Linked DNA regions of Canis lupus familiaris. The protein of the gene in region 1 purifies or fractionates together with the protein of each later gene. This does not show direct contact. Links are inferred from orthologs where the notes say so. Each region holds a gene or a part of one and is shown in the gene's direction. Other genes may lie near its edges.

Region 1 (6,307 bases):
AAAAGTCCGTCCTTTTCCTAGAACAAAAATTAGCATCAGGTTCTATAAATTGTTCATCATTTTTGACAATTAACTTTTCTCTAAGGAGAATAACTAGATAATCCCATAAAGTCAGCCAAGCTTCTTCCTCTCTGACCAAATTTTTAGGCAGAATTTCAATTTTAGCACTTAGGTGTGGCTTTTTGTCTTGCACTTTAAATTAAAAAGGGAAAAGAGAACGAAATCCATTAGCAATTTTCAGTGACACTGTGCAAGCTACAGAAAATACTTCTCAGGGCCCAAACTTTATTTTGAAACCATTATTACTCAGGTTCAATTTAAACTCTTTCTTGCAGTATTTACCCCAAAGATACAGATGTGGTGAAACACGGGGACACCTGCACCCCAAAGTTCATTGCAGCAATGTCCACAATAGCCAAACTGTGGAAGAAGCCTCCATGTCCTTCCACAGATGAATAGATAAAAAGACGTGGTCTATGTATACAATGGAATATTACTCAGCCATCAGAAGAGATGAATACCCATCATTTGCTTCAAAATGGATAGAACTGGAAGGTATTATGCTGAGTGAAGTAAGTCAGTGGGAGAAGGTCAATCATATGGTTTCACTCATACGGGGAATATAAGAAATAGTGAAAGAGATTATAAGGGAAGGAGAGTAACTAAGTGGGAAAAATTAGAGGGAGACAAACCACGAGAGACTCCTAACTCTGGGAAACAAACAAAGGGTTGTGGAAGGTGAGGTGGGTGGGGGATGGGGTAATGGGTGATGGGCACTGAGGAGAGCACTTGATGGGATGAGCCCTGGGTGTTATATTATACGTTGGCAAATCAAACTTCAATAAAAAAAAATGAAAAAAAAAAAAACCCTCTTTCTTGCCTAGTTTTGAGAAATGTCAACCAGTGCGTTCAAAGAGCACCATCTTGTTAGATCTCACCACCCTAAGTTCTAAGGAGGAGTAAATAGTTGACTTCTTTCCCCCTTTTCCCACTGTCCCATGTCTGTCCTCTGCTGGCTCCTCAGAGTGGCAGCAGGACACAGCACAAAGACGTCGTCCTGGGCGCCACATCTCAGTGAACCTACAGCCATTGAGTTCACGATGCACGATTTTGTGATAATGAAAGACAAAATGTGACAAACGACTGTAAGGCGCATCCTAATTACCAGGATCCTAAAGTGTCAAAAAAAAAAAAAAAAAGACCCCTGTATTCTTGGACTTTCAGGCAAAGGGCAAGGACCGCAAGGACCGCAAGCACAGCACAGATCTTTATTTATTTTTTATTTTTTTATTTTTATAAATTTATTTTTTATTGGTGTTCAATTTGCCAGCATACAGAATAACACCCAGTGCTCATCCCGTCAAGTGCCCCCCTCAGCGCCCATCACCCAGTCCCCCCACCCCCGCCCTCCTCCCCTTCCACCACCCCTAGTTCATTTCCCAGAGTTAGGGGTCTTTATGTTCTGTCTCCCTTTCTGATATTTCCCACACATTTCTCCTCCCTTCCCCTCTATTCCCTTTCACTATTATCTATATTCCCCAAATGAATGAGACCATATAATGTTTGTCCTTCTCCGACTGACTTACTTCACTCAGCATAATACCCTCCAGGTCCATCCACGTCGAAGCAAATGGTGGGTATTGGTCGTTTCTAATGGCTGAGGAATATCCCATTGTATACATAGACCACATCCTCTTTATCCATCATCTTTCGATGGACACCGAGGCTCCTTCCACAGTCTGGCTGTTGTGGCCATTGCTGCTAGAAACATCGGGGGGCAGGTGTCCCGGCGTTTCACTGCATCTGCATCTCTGGGGTAAATCCCCAGCAGGGCAACCGCTGGGTCGCAGGGCAGGTCTATCTCTAGCTCTTCGAGGACCCTCAGCTTCCCAGAGTGGCTGCCCCAGGTCACGGTCCCACCAACAGCAGCACATCTTCCCAAGGGCACACGTGTGGCTCCCGGGGTCGCCTCAGCAGCCCCCCAGGACGGCGGTCGCCGGGTCCCCGAGCCCCCGGGGAGGGCGGGGCGTCCCGGGCGCGACGTGCCCCACACGCGGAGGCCGCCTGCGCAGCCCGCCTCTCGCTGAGTTTCGCTTTCGGTTCTGCGGGAAACGAAAGCTGCGCGGCCGCAGGGGGCGGGGCGGGGCGGGGCGGGCGGGGGCGCGGGCGCGGGCTCGAGCTGCGCCGGGAACGCAGGGCGCCGTCCGGCCGTGCGCTCCCAGCGGCGTCTTGGCGAGCTCGCTGCAGGCAAGAGCAGAGAAGGCTTTTTCGAGGCTCCCTAGCATCGAACTTCGCAGCGGACGTTTGGCTGTCTCGTGGAACTTGAGGCAAGTTGGGCGCTAAATTCTCATCCAGACAAGTCGTTAAAATTGTTCTGTAATTTGCCTTTTCCCTCTCAACAGTATACGATGGACCTCTTTTCATAGCAAAACATAGATACATCAACCTCATTTAGAAAAATTGGTACATGATACTTATTTAAACAATTCATAGACATTAGGTTGTTTCCAGTTTTTATTGGTATAGATGATGCAGCAGTGGATATCATTTTATGTACACATTCATGTGAATATACAAATATATTTGTGAAAAATTCCTAGAGGTGGAATTGCTCAGTCAGCGGGTGTATATATTGAGAAATTTGAAAGATTTTGTCAAAATGTGCAAATCAGAGTATTTTAATCTTGATCTTCCTCCAACCTCTTTGCCTTTTTTTTCCTGGAAGAGAACTAAATTTAGATCTATTGAAACATAAAACTTCATTCCATAACTCTTGAAAATATGGGTTTCAGAGTGTTGGAAAATTAAAGCAGTAGCTTTAACTGCATATTTTATAGCAGTGAGGTAGTTATACTTTGAAATTACTCCAGAAAAACAAAGCAGTTATTTTCTTAGTATTTTATTTAAAATTTTTAGAGGGGGGAAGGGGCATTGGAAGAGAGAGAGAAAATCTTAAGCGGGCTCCACCCTGAGTGCAGAGCCCAAGGGGGGGGGGGGGCTCAATCTCAGGACCCTGCAATCCTGACCTGAGCCAAGATCAAGACTCAGAGGCTTAACCAACTGAGCCACCTGGGTGCCCCTTAAATAAGACAAATGTTTAAAAACATTTCTTTATAGTGTTATGTGGTGGCAGAGTGAGGTGGGGAGGAGGTTTAGATCTAGATACCTAGGCTATCTAATGTGTTCATAGGAACAAAATAAGTAGGAGGGAGTAGGAGAGCAGTTCCATCTTGATTTATGGAGCACTATCAAAGAACTTTAAAAAAAGTTTTTTTTTTTCCTTTTTTCACTATTAATAATGTTGTGCTTTTGGCACTTTTACACAATGATGGGCTTGCAAAGGGGAAATACTTAACATGTACACAGCCTCAAAGAAGATAAATCCTAATGCCTTCCACATGAGTTGATTCTTTTGGAGAGAGTAGTCTCAAGATTCATTCCGTCTTATTTGGGATTTCATCTGGTGTGCTCTAAGCGGTGTACACAGCACATCACCACTACTCAAGAAGCAAAACACATGATTAAGGATAAGGCCTAAATTTGTTGTTGCCATGATGATTTGGATTTGGAAGACTGTGATATGGTTTGTATCATGTCATAGGCATGTTAATTTTGTTCCTTTTAGGCCATTTAAAGACAGTCAGTTTTCCTGACTGGAGAGCCTAGTTGTGGTGAAGAGCCCAGCCCAGGTAGAGACCCAGACCACTCAGTTTTCCTGCATCACATTTTTTTGATGTTTCTTGGAAGACTGATTGATTCTGTGGCCACAGTGATGGTGGACTTAGACCTGCTTCTATCATTCACATCTCCTACTTATTTTAAGGATAAAAATTTGAGGGAGGTTGGGGGCCAAATTAGTTTAGTTCTTTGAAACCAAAAAGCATTTAAAAAATAATGGACTGTATTTAGAGCAATTTGAGGTTCACAGCAAAGTTGAACAAAGTTGGGAGGTACAGAGTTCCCACAGATCATTCCCTCCCTCTGCCACATCGAGACCATTATTAACACCTGGCACCAGAGTGATACATTTGCTGCAATTAATGAGCCTACGGTGACACCATCATTATCACCAAAAGTTCATACTTTACAACATGGTTCACTCTTGGTGTCATATGGGTTTTGACAAATGTATAATGACGAGTATCTACCATTATAGTATCATACAGAATAATTTCACTGCCCTAAAAATCCTATGTTGGAGCAAACTTTTTGAGTCAGGGCTTGAGTTTAAAAATTCAGTTTCCTTGAAATAAAACCATCTTTTTTTCTCTGGTTGATGCTTCTTGCCACCTTCTTAGTTCAACCGCATGTTCTCTGATCACTCTGCCTTTCTCCAACCTTCTTAGACCTCTAGGTTTCATTTTCCTTCCTTTTGTAGCCACACCTACCTGTTTCCCCTCTATGATCAGCTCTGACGATTGCCCTTTTGGAATCTGACCTGCCAGCTTACCCAAATGATACTCTTCACTGGGTTTTACTGCTATATTGGGCTGACATAAATAGTTTTGAGGGCTTAGTGGAGTATAGAACAATGTCTCTGGAAAACACAGGCTGGTCCTGTTCTACTCTGTTTCATCAGATTTCCCTCAGTGTGGTCTTAGAATCCTATTTCTTGCTCAAGGAATTGCCAGCTGCCATCATTTCTTTCTTAGTTTAAACCCTTCAGGATGAGCCTTATAAGACTATGAGACTATTTTTTATTTATTTAATTTATTAAGGGACTATTTATTTTTTAATATTTTTTATTTTTTTAAAAGATTTTATTTATTCACGAGACACACACACACAGACACAGAGGCAGAGACACAGGCAGAGGGGGAAGCAGGCTCCCTGTGGGGAGCCCAATGCGGAATTTGATCCCAGGACTTCGGGGCTACATCCTGAGCTGGAGGCAGATGCTCAACCATTGAGCCACCTAGGCGTCCCTTTAATTTTTTTTTTGTTTTGAGTAATCTCTGCACCCAACATGAGGCTTGAATTTACAACCCCAAGGTCAGGAGTCCCATGCTCTACTGACTGAGCCAGCCAGGTGAAGAGACTATTAAGACTGCTTATGACTGTTGAAAATAAATGCCAAGTAAAAGAGGTCATAATCTGGGTCATTTAACTTGATTTATTAATATATGCCAATTATATGTTTAGGTGTTTTCCAATTTCAGATTTTCACGTTTGCTTTACATTTTGTAAAAGAATTAAGAAAAAGAAATTCTAACAATTCTTCTCATTCTTAACTTGTTAATTTTTTGGAATTTGGAATAGGAACACTATTGCCAAAAAGTTCCTTTAAGAGATATTAAATCTGTCCCCTAAATGAATTATTGCTTATTTTAAAATTGCATATTAATTAATTACAAGAAGTTTGGAAATTAAGAGAAATAATTTTTTAAAAATGATTTGTAATCCCACCAGTGAGAATCACTTTTAATGACATTTTTGGCATATTTCATCCAGGCTTTCCTCTCTCTCTTAGTTCTATTTATGTTTAAAAAATTAAGTTAATACCATGTGATTTTTTTAATAATTTCTTTTTTATTCAGTGAAATATTAGTCATTTTCCCATCTTTCTTAGTCTAAAATGATTTTAATGTCACTATAGTATTTCATTTTATTAGTGTGTCATAATTTACTTAACTTTTATTGTTGAATTTTTTTTTTCTTTTGGCCAATGTAAGTAGTGCTTTAGCTCTTAGATTTGAAAGCATCCTTTTATTTTTTTTGTCAGTTGACAACAACAAAAAAATCCCCCTTTGAAATATCATCTAATGTTAATTAAGGAGGAACAAAAAGATATTTAAAAGAACAGACAAAATGGTAATAGAGTGATTTCACTCTCCTAAATGCTGCTTTTCCTCATCAGTGTTTCATTTTATTTGTAAAACGCGTAAGGAAAATAGGCCATAAAAATGAATCTCTTAAATAGATCTTTATATGTATCTCTGATTATTTTTTATTTATTAAGTTTTTATTTTAATTCCAGTATAATTGACATAGTGTTTTATATTACTTTCAGGTGTACAATATAGTGATTCAGTAATTCCATACATCATCCACTGCTCATCACAAACAAGTGCACTCCTTAATCCCCATCACCTATTCCACCCATCAACTATTTTCTTAATCAGTATTAATTGGTACTCTTTCAGCTACAAGTAACAGGAAGCTTTTCCTTTCTTCCTTTTATTTTTTTAAGAGTTTATTTATATATGTTCATGAGAGACAGAGAAAGGCAGAGATATAGGCGGAGGGAGAAGCAGGCTCCCCGCAGGAAGTCTGATGTAGGTCTCAGTCCTGGGACTCTGGGATCACG
Region 2 (5,231 bases), on another chromosome or scaffold:
GTGACTGGGAGAGCAGACTGAAAACATGGAAAGTCCTAAGGCCAGCTGAACGGTTTGAGTTCCGTAAACAAGAGGACAGCATCAAAGGCTTGGGTGGGTGGAGGGGGTGGGGGGTGACATAATCTTCCTAGGCTTTAGGAAGATGCCTTGAACATAGGTACATAGAATAGGCTGGAAGGAAGAAAAGATTGGAGGCCAGGTTACAGTTACTATGAGGAAAGTTTGGTTTTTTTAGTAATTAATCGGCAATATGAAAATATAAAGGATGCTTCTAACTCTAGGTCATTGATGTGTTCATTGATCTGTAGTGGGATTTTGTTGATATTCCAAACTAAATATTCCCTTTCCTAAGACTTTGTACTGTGTGTCCCAACCTGGAGCAAATACAGATCAGAGAGATGAATTCCTAAGCACATAGATCTGAGCTAAGAAGAAAGAATCATTACCTAAAAGTATTTGCTTTGGGGAAACAGGCTCTCTTTTTTGTGGACCAGAATTTCTCTGTTGACAGAGTTGTATTTCACTTAATGGGAAATAGCTAAGAAGAGGATTGGCATATATGTGACCAAAAAAATAAAAAATATGTAAAGAAGTCAGATGGCTTTTGCCTCTCGTAGAAAAGGTGTGACTAATCAATCCTTTTCTCCATCTGTGCCCAACTACTCCCATCTGCACCCACCTACGCAGCCCTGTCCTAAATACCATAGCAAAGTCGCTGTTAGATGTTATCACAGGTAATGGACCTACTAAGAAGTTACTTTAACTTCTCTTGCTCCTCTTTTGAAAGAGCCTGGTTCAAATAAAGGTCAAGTCCATATTTTGGAATTACATGTAACCTGTGGTGATTCTTTGCCATCACTGGCTCCCAGCTTCTCATGACACTTGAACTCCTTTCAGTTTTAGATCAAGAATAGAAAAAGGATGGGCAGCCCGGGTGGCTCAGCGGTTTAGCGCCGTCTTTGGCCCAGGGCGGATCCTGGAGTCCCGGGATTGAGTCCCACGTCGGGCTCCCTGCATGGAGCCTGTTTCTCCCTCTGTCTGTGTCTCTGCCTCTCCCTCTCCCTATGTCTCTCGTGAATAAATAAATATTAAAAAAAAAAAAAAAAAAGAGAGAGAATAGAAAAAGGAAGCAACTATGGTTGGATTTTAAAGAAATCTCAGCATTTTTAGATTGTGAGAAAACATTTAACAAAATGCGCCTGCGTGGGTCCTGGGGCCATGTTGTCCGAGCACAGAAAGGTCTGTGCTTTCTGGTTTGATTCATCTATTCTATTTTCTCAAATCATTGATTGCAAATTATGTTTTCAGTTTGCATTTTGTAGAATATAAAACAAATGGTAAAAATTGGGTCATGTAACTCTGGTGGATCAGTTACCATAGATACTGCTATTCTGAGAAGTCTCTCTTCCTTTCCAGTGAACTTGGAGAAATCCCCACACTAAAAACACTACAAGTTTTTGGAATCGTGCCAGATGGTACCCTTCAACTGTTAAAAGAAGCCCTTCCTCATCTGCAGATTAATGGTTCCCATTTCACCACCATCGCCAGGCCGACCACCGGCAACAAAAAGAACCAGGAGATATGGGGCATCCGATGCCGGCTGACACTGCAAAAGCCCAGTTGTCTATGAAGTATTTATCACAAGATGGTGTCTCCTCTTTTCTTTGGAACAGGGAAAATAGGCAGGAAGCCTGCTTGCTGGAGCACTCAGCTGTTTTTATTCTTGGTTTTCCCTTTGCCTTCATTCTGCAAGTATGTTAGACAGCCGTTTGAGAGAGAAGACTATGAAGTTTTGCTTTTTCTAAATAACCAGAAAAGCTTCGGTCACTGCTTTTGTACACTTAGGAGCCTAAGTTTAAGGCCTTTGGGAATTTTAGGAGAGCCTGTAATTTCAGGATGCCTTAAGCAGCAAGATTTGAGCCACCTCTTTCAAGTGCCCTTCTTATTAAATCTATTTAGAATCAAGCGTAAGAATCACCACCAGCAAATCGTTCTCACAATCTATATGGTGACTTCTATTTAATTTTTCAGTATTGCTTTATGAGACATAGACTGCTAGAAGTGTTTGTGTTGTGAACGGAACAAAAGGAGAATCATAGGATAGTAGCATTTGTGGCAACCTCTTCTGGAGATAGAAAAATACGCATTTCAGCTTTGCCTGTAGATATGAAATTAGGTTCATGGAAACAAATAGCTCTGGGCAATTCACACTAAATGACAAATGACTGACCAATCAGAGGTGAAGAATTGGTAGAGAATTTGAAAGCTCAAGAGGCAGTTTTCTATGACAGGTCAATCTGAAGTATCTTCTCATGCACATCAGTGAAGTTTCCATAATGTCATGTGCTCGCAGAATTCCGAATTAGCTGAGGAAATATAATTGTGGTCTTCTAACTTTGTGATCAAATGACGTTAACATGGGTTCTTTCGCTTTTAAAATGGCTCGCTTTGTTTCAGACAGATGCTAGTAGCTGGTCAGTCTTTATTCTTGAAATGTTGGATGGAATGCCAAACTGAAGTTCCCTGCCATTTTTCCTTTATTGTCCAAGTTCTTGAAGTTATTTTTATATTACTCTGGAATCAAGTATTTTCAATTGCCTTTTTAAAAAAAATGTCCCCCACAATAATTGAAAGTCATTATTTTCTAAAGTTACCGGACATGGAGTTGCCCAAGAAGAACTACATGTTCATTCACTCAGAAATACACATTAGAAGTAGGTGTGAGTTCCATGCAGTTTCTAAGCAGTGAGACAACTTGAAATGACATCAAGGTTAAGACTCAGGTGTGGAATCTTTTGATAACAACAGTGCTTTTATTTTTTTTTTTTAATAATGTCTAGAAGAAAAAGGATTAAATTCTACTTTAAAACAAAACACTAATTTTTTAATTTAAATTGATCTTCCCATATGTTCAAAATGAACAAAAAAGCTAAAACCTGTTATTTCTATTAATTGTTTTTAAATCAGATTCTTCAAATGTCAGAAACAACGATTTGAAGTGCCCTTATCTGCCCAGACCTAAGGAGGAACATTTTAAAGTGGTCTTATGCAGGAAATAATTATGTTTTGATTTTGTACTGATTAAAAAGTGCTACATATACTACATGAAATTATTGTTTACAGATTAGTGACAAGGGCTGATGATAGTACCCAATTGGGCTGTGATTTCCAGATGCCCTCAAATGTACAGTACTTCCAAACTCAAGTCCAGCCATAAGCTATTTTGCTAACATGTCAGAGTGATCTGTATTTTTGTATGTGATTTCTACTTTTATACACCTGTTTTAAAATAAAACAATTTTTATAAAAATGAGTACTTCCGCTGAGTTGTATTCTTTTGTTCTTTCCCTCTCTCTCTCTCTTTTTTTTTTTTTTTCCCTAAGTACTGTGGTTAAAATTAGCATTTCGTCTGGGGTGTCTTTGGTCCCAGCCCTCTGGTTATGGCTACAAAAGGACCCCAACAATGGTCCCCTTTGTTCCATCCACATCATATGCTTTTTGTCAAATTAAAATGATAGTGTGAATGCTTTCTGAGAAGGTACTAAGTACAGGTTTATTCTTTAAAGTGCTTCTAAAATAGTAACATTTATAAAACATTTGAAATTCAAGTGATTAATATACTAAAGTACTAATAAAAGGCAGCTAGTAGGACTTTTTAAATATAGACGGGACCAGCTCATACTATATATCTTACTCTCATTAATCTGTCCCCTATTTCCATAGGTTCAGCAGCAAAAAGCCCTAGACTGAAGGTAATATTGCCATGGTAGTGAGATCAAGTCCTAGGATGGGCTCCATGTTCAGTGTGGAGTCTGCTTGTGACTCTTTCTCCCTCCTCTCTGCCCTTCCCTGCTGCATTTTCTCTCTCTCTAATAAATAAATCTTTTTTAAAAAGAGGAATAGAATTAGTTCCGACCCATGCCTTACTGAGTATTCCTATAAAATATTCAAATTAAAATATTCTTTCCTAATTTTCTCTTTAGTTCCTCTTTATTTTGTCAGTAATTTTCTTAAAAATGTATCTTCAGGTCCATGACACTTAAAAACAAATACTCATGTTTTCCTTAACGTAGAAAACTTAATAAGCCTTCTTGTTGACTTATGCCCTGATCCCCTCATGCTTATTTTTAATGTTAAAGTCGAGAATATACTGCATTGGAAAGAAACCATTTCTCCTTGTAGCTCAGCAGTTCATCTGTATATTACTGTTATCCCTTCCCGCCCACCAATTTAATTTTTTTCATTATATCATTTATATGTCATATTATCCCTGGGATCTTTTTTACGCATTGTCTTGGTAGGTACTATCCCTAAGTATAATGATGCACATATTATTGGTACATTGGCAAAACTGAATGAATTTTTTAGTGATTTAAATCCTCAATTACCTCTTTTTTTTTAAAGTACTTTTTTTTAAATTTTTATTTATTTATGATAGTCACACACAGAGAGAGAGAGAGAGGCAGAGACATAGGCAGAGGGAGAAGCAGGCTCCATGCACCGGGAGCCCGATGTGGGATTCGATCCCGGGTCTCCAGGATCGCGCCCTGGGCCAAAGGCAGGCGCTAAACTGCTGCGCCACCCAGGGATCCCTTAAAGTCCTTTCTTAAATTGAAGTGCAGTTGACATAAGTTTCGAGTGTACAGTGGAGTGATTCCACAAGTGCTCACTGTGGTAAGTGTAGTCACCACCTCTCACCATACAACATTACAATATTATTGACTATATTCCTTATAACTGTACTTTTCATCTCTATGATTTATTTTATGACTTGAAGTTTATACCTCTTAATCCCCTTCACCTATTTCATCCACCCCCCTATCCCTCTGCCCCTGGAGCAACCACCAGTTTGTTCTCTATTATTTGTAAGTTTGCTTCTGTTTTTTTTTTTTTTTCTTTTTTTAGATTACACATATAAGTGAAATCCTATGGAATTTGTCTTTCCCTATCTGACTTTCACTTGGTGTAATACCCTTTAGGTCTGTCCAGGTTGTCACCAATGGCAAGATTTCATTTATTTTATTTTTTAAAGATTTATTCATGAGAGACACACAGTGAAGCAGAGACATAGATGGAGAAGCAGGCTCCCTGCAGGGACCCTGATGTGGGACTCGATCCTGGAACCGTGGGATCACGACCTGAGGCGAAGCAGAAACTCCACCAATGAGCCACCTAGGCATCCCTAAGATTTCATTTTTATAGGTAAATGATATTGCATTGTCTACCACACC
Region 3 (5,655 bases), on another chromosome or scaffold:
GAGGGACCTCCAGGGAGGGCAGAAGGAAAGAGCAAGAGGAGCTATTCCTGCAGAGACTGAACTCTGTATTCTCTCGGCCACCTCTCTCCCCAGAGCCTTCGTGGTAGAAACCCAGCCCTGCATGCCCCAAACTCCCCACCGACCCCTCATCCTCAAGACTGGGAGCAAGTTCACTATCCGAACAAGGTTGGCATTTCAGGACTCATTCCTGCTTCCTTTTTCCAGCCCTCATACTACTGTTTGCTTTCTGGCTTTAGATCTTTCCACTCTTGTCTTCTCCCTTTTCTCTTTAATCCACCTACCTCGTCTCTTTCTTTTTCTTTTTCCCATCTACCTCTTCTAATCTCTTACCTTATCTTTTCCCAACATTTGATCTCTCCAGGAGATTGAAGGTGACCACTTTCCCCTCTTCCACTTAGGCTCCTGGTGAGACTCCAGGAAGGCAACGAGTCACTGACTGCAGAAGTTTCCATTGACAAGTAAGTTGGGGCACGTGGGGCCACAGGGTGGCAGGGACATGGGCTGCTGGGGCAGAGGAGACCCACTCTTCACCCGAGGGCCCTGGGGCTGTGTTCCTACCCCGCCTCCTCGCTCTTGTTGAGCACTATGTGACATGCGGCTTGTCCAGTCCTCATTTGTCCCAGGAACCCTGTGAGTTAGGTATTAGCAGTGCACAGTTCAGATGGAGAGACAAGCCCAGAGAGATTGTGTCTCTTGTGCAAGGCCATAAGACTCGTGAGCACAGATTTGGGTTTGAATCCAGGTCTGTCTGATTCTAAAGACTAAACTCCTAACTTCTGCACTGTTTTGGTTCTCAGTGAATTTTTTTTTTTTTTTTTTTTTTTCAGGAATCCTCAATCACAAGGGTAGGTGTCTGATAAGGATGCTGCCGACTTGGGTGCACTGCACAACCTGCATAATAACCACATTGGGGCTCAGACAAGAAGGAGGTTGACTTGGTTGGGGGTTGGACAAAGGGAGGAGGGGAGGTCTGGAATGAAGTAGGATTTTTGTTGTTTTCCTGCTGAGTATTTAGAATAACTCTTCTCCTCTTCTCCATATATCTTCTTCCTCCTGGAATAGCTTCCGGAAGTTCAACATTCTAACCTCAAACCAGAAAACCCTGACCCCCGAGAAGGGGCAGAGTCAGGGCTTAATTTGGGACTTCGGTTACCTGGTAAGAAGGGCTAGCAGCCTAAGGTTCTGGTCCGGTGCAACGGGCTGAGGGAAGTTCCCAGGCCTTGGGAAGTCTTGAGGCGAAATAGGGGTTCCAGGGACCCTGGAGTCCTCACTCTGGCATTTATTTTATTTCCTGTCAACTCACAGACTCTGGTAGAACAACGTTCAGGTGGCCCAGGAAAGGGCTGCAATAAGGTGAGGCCTGGCCAGAGCAGCGGGGGGATGGGAGGAGCTTGCCACAGGGCCCGCTGACCGCTGTGTCTTCGGCTGTCCTAGGGCATGCTGGGTGTGACGGAGGAACTGCACATTATCAGCATTACAGTCAAATACACCTACCAGGGTCTGAAGGAGGAGCTGAAGGTGAGTGGAAATGGAGGGCAGGGAGAGATGAAGCAGATCTGGCGGAAGGCATTCAGGAGGCGTTAAAGGAAGCCTCTCCAGTGGGAAGTTCTCCTTTGCCTCTGTCAAAGCTAGAAACATCCCATCCCTCTCTCTGACTCTTGTTTTCTCTTCAGACAGACACCCTCCCTGTGGTGATTATTTCCAATATGAACCAAGTTTCCATTGCCTGGGCCTCGGTTCTTTGGTTCAATCTGCTTAGCTCAAACCCCCAGGTAGGAGATGGTGCTAATGGTGCTGGGTGGCAAGGAAGGGTGTGGACGCTTGGCCTGAGGGTGCTCCTTCTGAGCCATCCTGCCCTCTTCCCACTCTTGCAGAATCAGCAGTTCTTCTCCAGCCCTCCCATGGCACCCTGGAGCTTGCTGGGCCCTGCTCTCAGCTGGCAGTTCTCCTCCTATGTTGGCCGAGGCCTTGACCCAGACCAGCTGAGCATGCTGAGGAACAAGCTCTTTGGTACAAACCTCCTTTTCTCCCAGCCTTTCCCCAGCCGTAGTCTCCCCAGCCCTCCACCCTTTCTATTCCAAGGACCCTGGCCTTGCCTGCATCGATTACCTGAACTGTCTGTCTGTCCACAGGTCAGAACTCTAGGACTGAGGGCGCATTGTTATCGTGGGCCGACTTCACTAAGGTAACTCCCTGCATCCTGTGTGACTACGTCTAGCCCCTGTGCAAACACTAGTCCTTGCCCTCCTTACTGCCATCTGCTCACTGGGGGCGACTAATCATGTCTCTTCCTGCCTTTTCATTCCTCCTGCAGCGAGAGAGCCCTCCTGGCAAGCTACCATTCTGGACGTGGTTAGACAAAATTCTGGAGCTGGTACATGACCACTTGAAGGATCTCTGGAATGATGGGTAAGGCCTTGGTCAGTCTCCCTCGCCCCACCCCTAGCTTTCTGCCTTTCTGGGCTCGAGTGGACTCTGTGCGCCCTCATGTGGCAGAAAGGGAGAGAGCAAGCAAATGCTGGTGCAAGGTCACGCGCCTGACGTTTTCGCTCATGATAATAGTCCTAGCATCTGTTGTGCTCCAGAACCTGCTGGATGCTCCTTATGAACTCTCTCGTGTAATCCTTACAACCGTGTGGAGTCAAAGAGAAGTTAAAGAATTCACTCAAAAAAAAAAAAAAAAGAATTCACTCAATGAAAAAAAAAAAAAAAGAATTCACTCAATGGGCCTGCTTGGGACTCAAACCCAGGCCTCATCTGACTGCAGGCCTGTGCTCTTCCCATCACACTACCTGCTCATTTGCCTTTCCAAGGTGCTTTTTCATCTGTGACCACACTGAATCCTCAAACCTCTTCCAGCCCTAGAAGGTGGATACCGTCAGTAAGAGGAAGTGACTTGGCCAAGAGCAAGGGCCAAACCCTGGCGCTGTCTCCCTGTACAAGGAGAGCAGGACAGCAGGACAGCAGGGAGGCATGAGGGCCTCACAGCAGCTTTCTGTTTCAGACGCATCATGGGCTTTGTGAGCCGGAGCAAGGAACGCAGGCTGCTGAAGAAGACCATCTCTGGCACCTTTCTCCTGCGCTTCAGTGAAACATCAGAAGGGGGCATCACCTGCTCCTGGGTGGAACATCAGGATGATGGTCAGCTGCTTCGCCCCGATGTTCCCACAGCCTGTCCTTTATGTCCCTCTGCCAGCCCTTGGCTTCCCTGGTTCTGTCTTGAATCCCTCAGCAGGTTGGGGCTTAGATGGCCAGGGTGGGGGACTCCTAGACCCGACTGTTTCAGGCCTGCCTCTTCCCACATCCATTCTGCAGATAAGGTGCTCATCAACTCTCTGCAACCCTTCACCAAGGAAGTGCTTCAGTCTCTCCCACTGACCAAAATCATTCGCCACTACCAGCTGCTTACCGAAGAGAACATACCTGAGAACCCACTGTGCTTCCTCTACCCCCGAATCCCCCGGGATGAGGCTTTTGGGTGCTACTACCAGGAGAAAGGTAAGGATCGTTGATGTATGTCACTGAAGATTGCAGGGACTCAGGCATCTACAGATCCAGCTCCTTTCTTCCAGACATGGAAAAATTGGTAGCCAGAGAAACGAAAGGATTTGTCCCTGGGACATGGCTAGTTAGTAGGGAAATACAATTATCAAGACCGTTTACACGAGGGGTCCTTGGGCCAGGTGTCCAGTCCACTGACCTCCCTGTCCTCCTGCATATGTCCCCCACAGTTAATCTCGAAGAACGGAGGAAATACCTGAAACATAGGCTCATTGTGGTCTCTAACAGGTGAGAGATGCATTTCTTGCCCATCCTCCCTGGCCTTTGCTGGCTGATGTGGCGACCCAAACCCGCTCAGTTTGCCTCTCTGGCCTTCTTTCCTACGGGCCCATAGTCTCCAACCTCTAGGTTTTTTCCCTCGTTCTGCTAGCCTCTTTGTTCCCTAGTGCTCTGCTGCTATCCTTAGGTTGTTTCCACAGGGCTTCCCTGCTAATCAGAGTCATAATCACTGACGTTAATGGGCATCTACTTGAAGCATAGTACTAGATTTTTTTTTTTTTTTAGAAACAGATTTCTTTTTATTTTATTGAATTCTTCTGAGAACCCATCCAATTAGGTGATAACAGCCATATTTAAGAAAGTTTATTATGTGGCAGGTACTGGACTAAATATTTTGCATTTAGTTTCTTATTTATTGAATCTCCATAATAGTCCTGTGAGGCAGACATGGGTATTTCAGCCGAAGAGCCTGAGGTTTAGTGTGGTGAAATGGCATGCCTAAGGTACATGGCTAGTAAATGATCCAGGTCTGTCAGATTCCAAAGTCCTGCTTTTAACCATCCTACTCTCTGAAGCGTTATTAGGTGGTGATGGTTCCATTTTATCGATGATAAATCTGAGGCACAGAAAGCTGAAGATCACCTATCTAATAAATGATAGGATTCAAACTCTGGCAAGCCTAACTCCAAAGCCTGTGCTCTTAAACCCTCTGCTGTATTGCCCTGTTGCCACCTTTAAAAAAAAATTTTTTTTTTTAATTTATTTAAAAAGAGAGAGAGAGAGAGAGAGAGAGAATGCACGAGTAGGGCCGGGGTAGGAATAGAGGGACAAGCAGAGAGAATCTCAAGCGGACTCTGCTCTGAGCATGGAGCCCGACGCAGGGCTCAATCTCACCACCCTGAGATCATGACCTGAGCAGAAATCAAGAGTCAGATGCTTAACCAACGGAGTCACCCAGGTGCCCTTGCTCTCTTGCCTTCTCAGCCGAGAGAGATAGTCTCCGCTTGCTCCGCCATTCTCCAGTTCACCTAAACAACTAAGCCCTGCCCTTTTGTGTGTATTACCGCATCCAGACAGGTGGATGAGCTGCAACAACCGCTGGAGCTTAAGCCGGAGCCAGAAGCAGAGTCCTTGGAGCTGGAGACAGGACTAGACCCATTGCTACAGCAAGAGCCATGCCTGGAGTTAGAGCCACTGCTAGCGGCTGGGCTGGATCTGGGGCCACCACTGGAGCCCATGCTGGAGCCTACGCTAGACATGGTACCCCAGGGAGTGTCAGAACCAGACTTGGGACCAGAGCTGAGGCTGGAGCCTCTCCCAGACCCTGCATCACAGGCAGTGCCAGAGCCAGATCTGCCCCATGATCTGAGACACTTGAACACTGAGGAAATGGAAAGTAAGTGGTGAGATGGGCCTGGGGAAGTGGGGACACCTTCCCTTTACCAACTGCCCTCCCTTTCCCATTATAGAAAAGGCTAAACTCTAAGCTCCTCATTGGAGGGAGGCTCATTTCTTTGTGATCCCTTTTATTATGAAATGTAAACGCCTTCTCCTTCCCTGACCTAAGTGCCCCCTCACACCTTGTCCAGGCCTCTACTGCCATCCTCCTTCATTTTCCCTGCGGGATTGGGAACTTCTTACCAAAGATCAGGGACTGATTTCTTTTTCTGGACTGTCTAGTTTTCAGAAACAGTATGAAGATTGAGGAAATCATGCCAAATGGTGACCCACTGTTGGCTGGCCAGAACATCATGGATGAGGCTTACGTCTTCCACTCCAGCCATTTCTACACGGATGGACCTTTGATTCCTTCTGACTACTAGGAACTGCATTTCCTGTTCTTCCTGTATCTTT
Region 4 (5,655 bases), on another chromosome or scaffold:
GCTTATATTTAATGAAGTTCAGCTTTTCACAATTTCTGAGAAAAAGTATTGATAATCAAGCTAATCAGTAAATTACAGGGAAGACATATTGGTGAAGACTTTTTCTTTGAAGTCCCCCTGATTCAGGAAAAAATTAGAAGTACATACATAGGTTTAAATAACCTAATTAATTAGGTTTTTTTTTTAAGGGGGGATTTTTATGCATTTTTGGAAAAAATTAAAAAGCTTATCAATTTAATAATCATAGCACATACTGAGTGCTCTTGGATTTCTATTTATAATATATTAGATATAGAGAAAGACATGGATACCCAAGAGCAGTTAGTGAGAGAAATGACTAGACACAGTAGAGGGAGCCACAGAGGGGGAAAAACCCACTGAGGAATTTTTCTTATTTGCAAAGATGGAAGTATAATACATGGCCCACTGCTTGCAATCTTAGAGTCATAATTCTGGCACATTAAAAATTTAAAAAAAATCATCATACTTTATTTAATAAATTTAAGACACTACTAAATTTTCAGCACAAAGCTGAGTGTTTTAATAGTTAATAGCACAATCCTTGAATTTTTTTTTCCCCATTCCCTGAGTACTGTGAAACACTGGTATACTTAATTTTAAAATACATATCAGACACAGAGTATTTATTTAATAAGATATATCAAGTATGAAAGATTTAAGAAAGAGTAATAGGAATAGAAACGTTGAAAGAGTTCAAGAGACTAATTTTTCCTATAAAGTCAGGGGCAAATAATCTTTAATCAGTTGTAATCTTGTTGGAGATTACATAGTTTGAAACTGTTGATGTGGGTGGGGAAAGAGTTGGTCAGAGAAATAACAAGTTAAGTGTATTTCTTGTTCAGCCATTTCAGTTAGTATATGATTTTTGGTCAGATAAGACTACTAGGCAATACACTGTTACTCTTTCTTTATTGCTGTCCAGTATTTAGTAAACATTACTGAATGTTTTTTCAAACTGAAATACAAACTTGAGTATATAAAATTACTCTTCCTTCCTAATTCTCCATTTAGTATAAATAACAACAGCAATAACAGTAATAATAACCACCATATGTTGAGTGCTTACCATATAGGTTAGCATTGCATGGTATTTCTTACATGCATTATCTTACTTCATTTGATTTAGCTTAGCTTTTGGAGTCACTTGTAAGCACATTCACGATGGCTTTGAAAAAGAAAACTAGAATATCAGTCAATAATAAATTATTGAAGTTACTGAACCATCAGACTGTCCTATTTTTTTATTGCATTGCATGCAGTGCATTGCTGTCAGCCCGACCTTGTCTTTATCTGCACCACTCTTTCAAGGAGTTACTTCTCAGGGAAAGGGCTGAACAGTTCACTTGTTTAACTCATTTACTCTCTCCTAACAGTGGGAAAGCAACTACTTCTGAAATAAAAAGATCCTATTACTTCACAGTTATCCTGCCTGCTTCTGGAGGCATAAATGTTAATCCCATGTGACTCATGCAAGTTGTTATGACAGTTTACCTCTTTTGAAATACAAACAAAAGCTGTCTGTTCAAAATACTTTGGTAAAATCGACTGGTTGTTGGATTTAACCCATTCAGCTGTTTTGTGCATGACATTGAGCTATAATTTCCATACTGTTCATACTCCCATCAAAAACATCTTCCATTTTCTACAGTGATTCTTATTAGGAGAAGTGGGAGGGGGTTCATGCTAGAATCTGTATAAATAGAAGATAATCTACTGGAAGAGAATGTGTCTCTTGTTTTCCCCCTTTTTTCATTAAAGAACACGAGTATTCAGGGCAGCCCCGGTGGCTCAGCGGTTTAGCACCGCCTGCAGCCCGGGGTGTGATCCTGGAGACCCGGAATCAAGTCCCACGTCAGGCTTCCTGCATGGAGCCTGCTTCTCCCTCTGCCTATGTCTCTGCCTCTCTCCCTCTCTCTCTCTCTCTCTCTCTGAATAAATAAATAAATAAGTCTTAAAAAAAAAAAAGAACACTAGTATTCAGGGAATTGACACAGCCTTATAGTACACAGCATGATTAAGGAAAGAGAGCTATGAGGTTTGATTAGGTAGGGTCAGTGAAGACAATATAAAGTATAAAGGTCCCATTACCACTGTTTTTTTTTTATTTGCCTTTAAGATTTTGTTTAAATTAAAGTTGGTTAACATATAATGTAGTATTTAGTCTCAGGGGTAGATGTTTTTGTTTTTAATTGAACAAGGGCTTATAAGCTTTAATGTTACACAATTTATAGCCAACTTAAATTGAATCAGAGTATGGTTGCATTTTGATTATCTGGTAATTGGATGTTCTCTTTTACCTTTAGAATTCAGAATAGACTTTCTTCATTACCAGTAGTAATAACTTTTATGTATTACTTATTTTATGAAAAAAAAATGCCAATATCTCATGCATGCTTTCTTGCTTTGTCCTTATAATTATTTATGATATAAAATAAATAAAATACATACTTGAATTCCAGATACCAATGGATCAGATAACTCTATCCCAATGGCTTATCTTACACTGGATCACCAACTACAGGTAAAGAATTGCCTTCTCAGTGACTGTTTACTATTTCCTTAGAAAGTTTAGAGAAGTTATCTAGAAAGCTGACAGTTGTGTTTATATCTGTCATCATATATTCACTTACTTATGCTTTTAGTTGGCCTACTTAAACTTTCTAAAATCAAGTTAAAATGATTCATTCAGTTAAATTAATCAAATCTGAAGTTGGCAAAATCATATGTTCTTAAGATATTTAATTGTCTTAAAACACTTCCATATCTTTGTTTAAGAATGGCAAGAAATAGGGCAGCCCTGGTAGCTCAGTGGTTTAGCGCCACCTTCAGCCCGGGGCATGATCCTGGAGACCCAGGATCGAGTCCCATGTCAGGCTCCCTGCATGAAGCCTGCTTCTCTGCCTCTTTCTCTGTGTCTCTCATGAATAAATAAAAAATCTTTAAAAAAAAAAAAAGAATGGCAAGAAATAGGAGATGCCTGGGTGACTCAGTCAGTTAAGCATCTAACTCTTGATTTTGGCTTGGGTCATGATCAGAAGGTTGTAAGATCAAGTCCCACATCAGACTCTGCGCTGGGTATGGAGCCTCTTGAGGTTCTCTCTCTTGCTCTCTAAAAAAAAAGGAAAGAAAGAAAATGCCAAGAATATAGCATTTTTGATCTCTAATTTTAGTACTGTAATATAAAATTTGCATAAGCTCATTTGTACTTAATAGATTTCATGATACACTGTCAATGTCTCATGTTCATAGTGACTGAAAACATAAGTAATACACTTCAGTGTCTCCTCATGAGTATGAAAGCCATAAACTTATCGTATAATATGGTTTGACAACCTGAAATGTAAAGCCAGAGGCGAGTGATACTCTATAGTCATGATTCTCTGTAACAACAAAAGTGTTAAGACAGCAAGTGTGAATTTAAGTTCTGAGTTAACTCTGACAAAAGGACACTGAAATTTTCTAGGCCATGGTCTAACACTTACTTTTAAAAGACCATTGCTTTAGTGCTATAAAAACATGTCACAGTCACTGTCTTAACTTTCAGCTTGATATTAAGATTTGATTTAATTATGTTTTAACAGTCCTGATTTATTTTCAGCCTCTAGCACCGTGCCCAAACTCCAAAGAATCTATGGCAGTGTTTGAACAGCATTGTAAAATGGCACAAGAATATATGAAAGTTCAAACAGAAATTGCTTTGTTATTACAGAGAAAGTAAGTTATCTTTTGTGAATAAACACGTTAGTATTTTGAGTTTAAAATATGTTAAGATGAAATATTGTTGGAAGACATGAAAGCTTGATAATTTTTAGAACTAATCATTAAGCATGCAGATGCCTGTTGAACGGCTTGGGTGTTGGGGTGCTGAACCCCCACTCATTCAAAAATCCATGTGTAACTTTTGATTCCCCAAAAATGCTAATGGCCTACTGTTGACTAGAATCCTTACCAATGACATCAGCAGTCAATTAACACCTATTTTATATGTTTATGTATTATATACTATATTCTTAAAGTAAGCTAGAGAAAAACTTTTATTAAGGAAGTCATAAGGAAAAGAAAATACATTTACAGTACTGAACAAAAATCCATGTATAAGTGGATCCATTTAGTTGAGACTCATCTCATTGTAGGGTCAACTGTATTTCCAATTTGGAGGTTTTATATGTGTTCATCTTTTAAGTTTGAAGGAACTTTCGGCTGTTTTTCATGTAAAACTCAACCCATTGGCTGTATGTATTATATTAAAACTAAGGAAAATAAACTGGTGTTTCATGTTCTAAGAATTTTGAAACCAGAAGCTGGTTAGATTTATAGTTACAATGATTTATTGTTTCCTTAGACATAGGTAAAATAATTTGATTTACTAATGTTCAACTGTACTTTATCTTAGAAATGTTTTATTGATATAGTCTTTCCAGGTATATATTTAGGAGAGTAGGATTACTTTATTTTATACCCATGAGTGTTTTTATAAGGTGTTTTATACTCACGCATATGTTTTTCTGAGAGTTATTGAGTTTGCCTTCCTCTCCTCCCTTTTTTAAGAAAATCAATTTTCATGCTCCTTTATTTGAAATTCTTAAAAAAAAAAAAACAAAAACTTAAGTTTCTGCATGGATCCTCATTTTAGAGGGAACTGAAATGAAGTGCTATAGGAAAAAATCATGGCATGGTAATAGGATTCCCTCTATTGATTTTAATCTAAATAAGTGAAAATTTCTTGCTTTCTGAAGTAATTTGTGGAAAGTTTCCGTTTGTACTTCAAAAAAAAAAGAAAAAATAGCTCTATCACAACTTATTGTTAAATGATTGCAACTCTACCTTAAAGGCTCTATAGGAAATAAATATTTGAGTCTGCAAATTGTGGAGCTAATTGTAGAACTGTTGACACTTTATGTTTTTTAAAAAAAACCTCTTACTTTACATATTTAGTCTATACTTTTTTCCTTTTTTATTCATTTGAACGAGGAGTTGGTTCTGTGCTGGAAAAAGAAATGATAGATTGAGGGAATGCGAAAACTATGACAATTTTAATCAATTTTATTTAAATACTTTGAGAAATACTACAAGAAAATCATCTGGAGGCTCTTCATTAATTATTCATTTATATCATTAATTAATCACTTATAACTTCACTTTAGGAGTTAAAATTGAACATCTCCCAAATAAAGGGGTCTTTAAAAAGTTTATCAGGCTGTAAAAGTCTCTAATGGTCTTCCTGAAAATGTTTGTAAAAGTAACTCATTCGAAATTGGTACTTTGTATTGTTCTCACTTTTAAAGTAGGAAATAGATTTAAGTTGATAGCATCTATTTTAATTAGCTTGCCAATGTTTTATGAGCCCCCACTTTGTACTGTAGTTAAATAAGATGTAACTTCAAACATAAATAAAAGTTCACGAGTGTAAAAGTGGAATGTGAATGATAAAACATGTTATTTTCCTGTGCCTAGAGCCCTTCCCCAGCCTTTTTTCTTCTTCTTACACAAAGGGGATACCAAGTAAAATGTTTTGAAACTTTTGTTATGCCATTTTATCTGCGTTCATTAATTATCTAAGTGCAGTTACTTACAAAAGGATCGTGGTGTGGTGTTCGTGTGGGTACACCAGAAGAGTGGGTAATAGTTTCCATT

Evidence for each region.
Region 2: the proteins of USP18 (region 1) and SKP2 purify together in Homo sapiens (affinity purification with western blotting; 4 studies listed by BioGRID and IntAct, with this or other methods). This does not show direct contact. The link is inferred for Canis lupus familiaris from reciprocal best matches to the Homo sapiens genes USP18 and SKP2.
Region 3: the proteins of USP18 (region 1) and STAT2 purify together in Homo sapiens (affinity purification with western blotting; 6 studies listed by BioGRID and IntAct, with this or other methods). This does not show direct contact. The link is inferred for Canis lupus familiaris from reciprocal best matches to the Homo sapiens genes USP18 and STAT2.
Region 4: the proteins of USP18 (region 1) and MAP3K7 purify together in Homo sapiens (affinity purification with western blotting; 4 studies listed by BioGRID, with this or other methods). This does not show direct contact. The link is inferred for Canis lupus familiaris from reciprocal best matches to the Homo sapiens genes USP18 and MAP3K7.

What each region holds. Positions count from the first base shown.
Region 1 is NC_049248.1:295,416-301,722, reverse strand, and holds the start of USP18 (ubl carboxyl-terminal hydrolase 18), read left to right. Parts: upstream 1-2,162; 5' UTR 2,163-2,327; intron 2,328-6,307. UniProt on the Homo sapiens protein: Interferon-induced ISG15-specific protease that plays a crucial role for maintaining a proper balance of ISG15-conjugated proteins in cells. Regulates protein ISGylation by efficiently cleaving ISG15 conjugates linked via isopeptide bonds.
Region 2 is NC_049225.1:73,261,156-73,266,386, reverse strand, and holds the end of SKP2 (S-phase kinase-associated protein 2), read left to right. Parts: intron 1-1,416; coding exon 1,417-1,630; 3' UTR 1,631-3,313; downstream 3,314-5,231. UniProt on the Homo sapiens protein: Substrate recognition component of a SCF (SKP1-CUL1-F-box protein) E3 ubiquitin-protein ligase complex which mediates the ubiquitination and subsequent proteasomal degradation of target proteins involved in cell cycle progression, signal transduction and transcription.
Region 3 is NC_049231.1:995,637-1,001,291, reverse strand, and holds part of STAT2 (signal transducer and activator of transcription 2), read left to right. Parts: intron 1-93; coding exon 94-186; intron 187-419; coding exon 420-479; intron 480-848; coding exon 849-866; intron 867-1,083; coding exon 1,084-1,177; intron 1,178-1,326; coding exon 1,327-1,374; intron 1,375-1,455; coding exon 1,456-1,539; intron 1,540-1,694; coding exon 1,695-1,793; intron 1,794-1,895; coding exon 1,896-2,031; intron 2,032-2,153; coding exon 2,154-2,206; intron 2,207-2,335; coding exon 2,336-2,430; intron 2,431-3,025; coding exon 3,026-3,162; intron 3,163-3,336; coding exon 3,337-3,519; intron 3,520-3,752; coding exon 3,753-3,810; intron 3,811-4,874; coding exon 4,875-5,197; intron 5,198-5,481; coding exon 5,482-5,624; 3' UTR 5,625-5,655. UniProt on the Homo sapiens protein: Signal transducer and activator of transcription that mediates signaling by type I interferons (IFN-alpha and IFN-beta).
Region 4 is NC_049233.1:49,889,666-49,895,320, reverse strand, and holds part of MAP3K7 (mitogen-activated protein kinase kinase kinase 7), read left to right. Parts: intron 1-2,480; coding exon 2,481-2,542; intron 2,543-3,619; coding exon 3,620-3,735; intron 3,736-5,655. UniProt on the Homo sapiens protein: Serine/threonine kinase which acts as an essential component of the MAP kinase signal transduction pathway. Plays an important role in the cascades of cellular responses evoked by changes in the environment.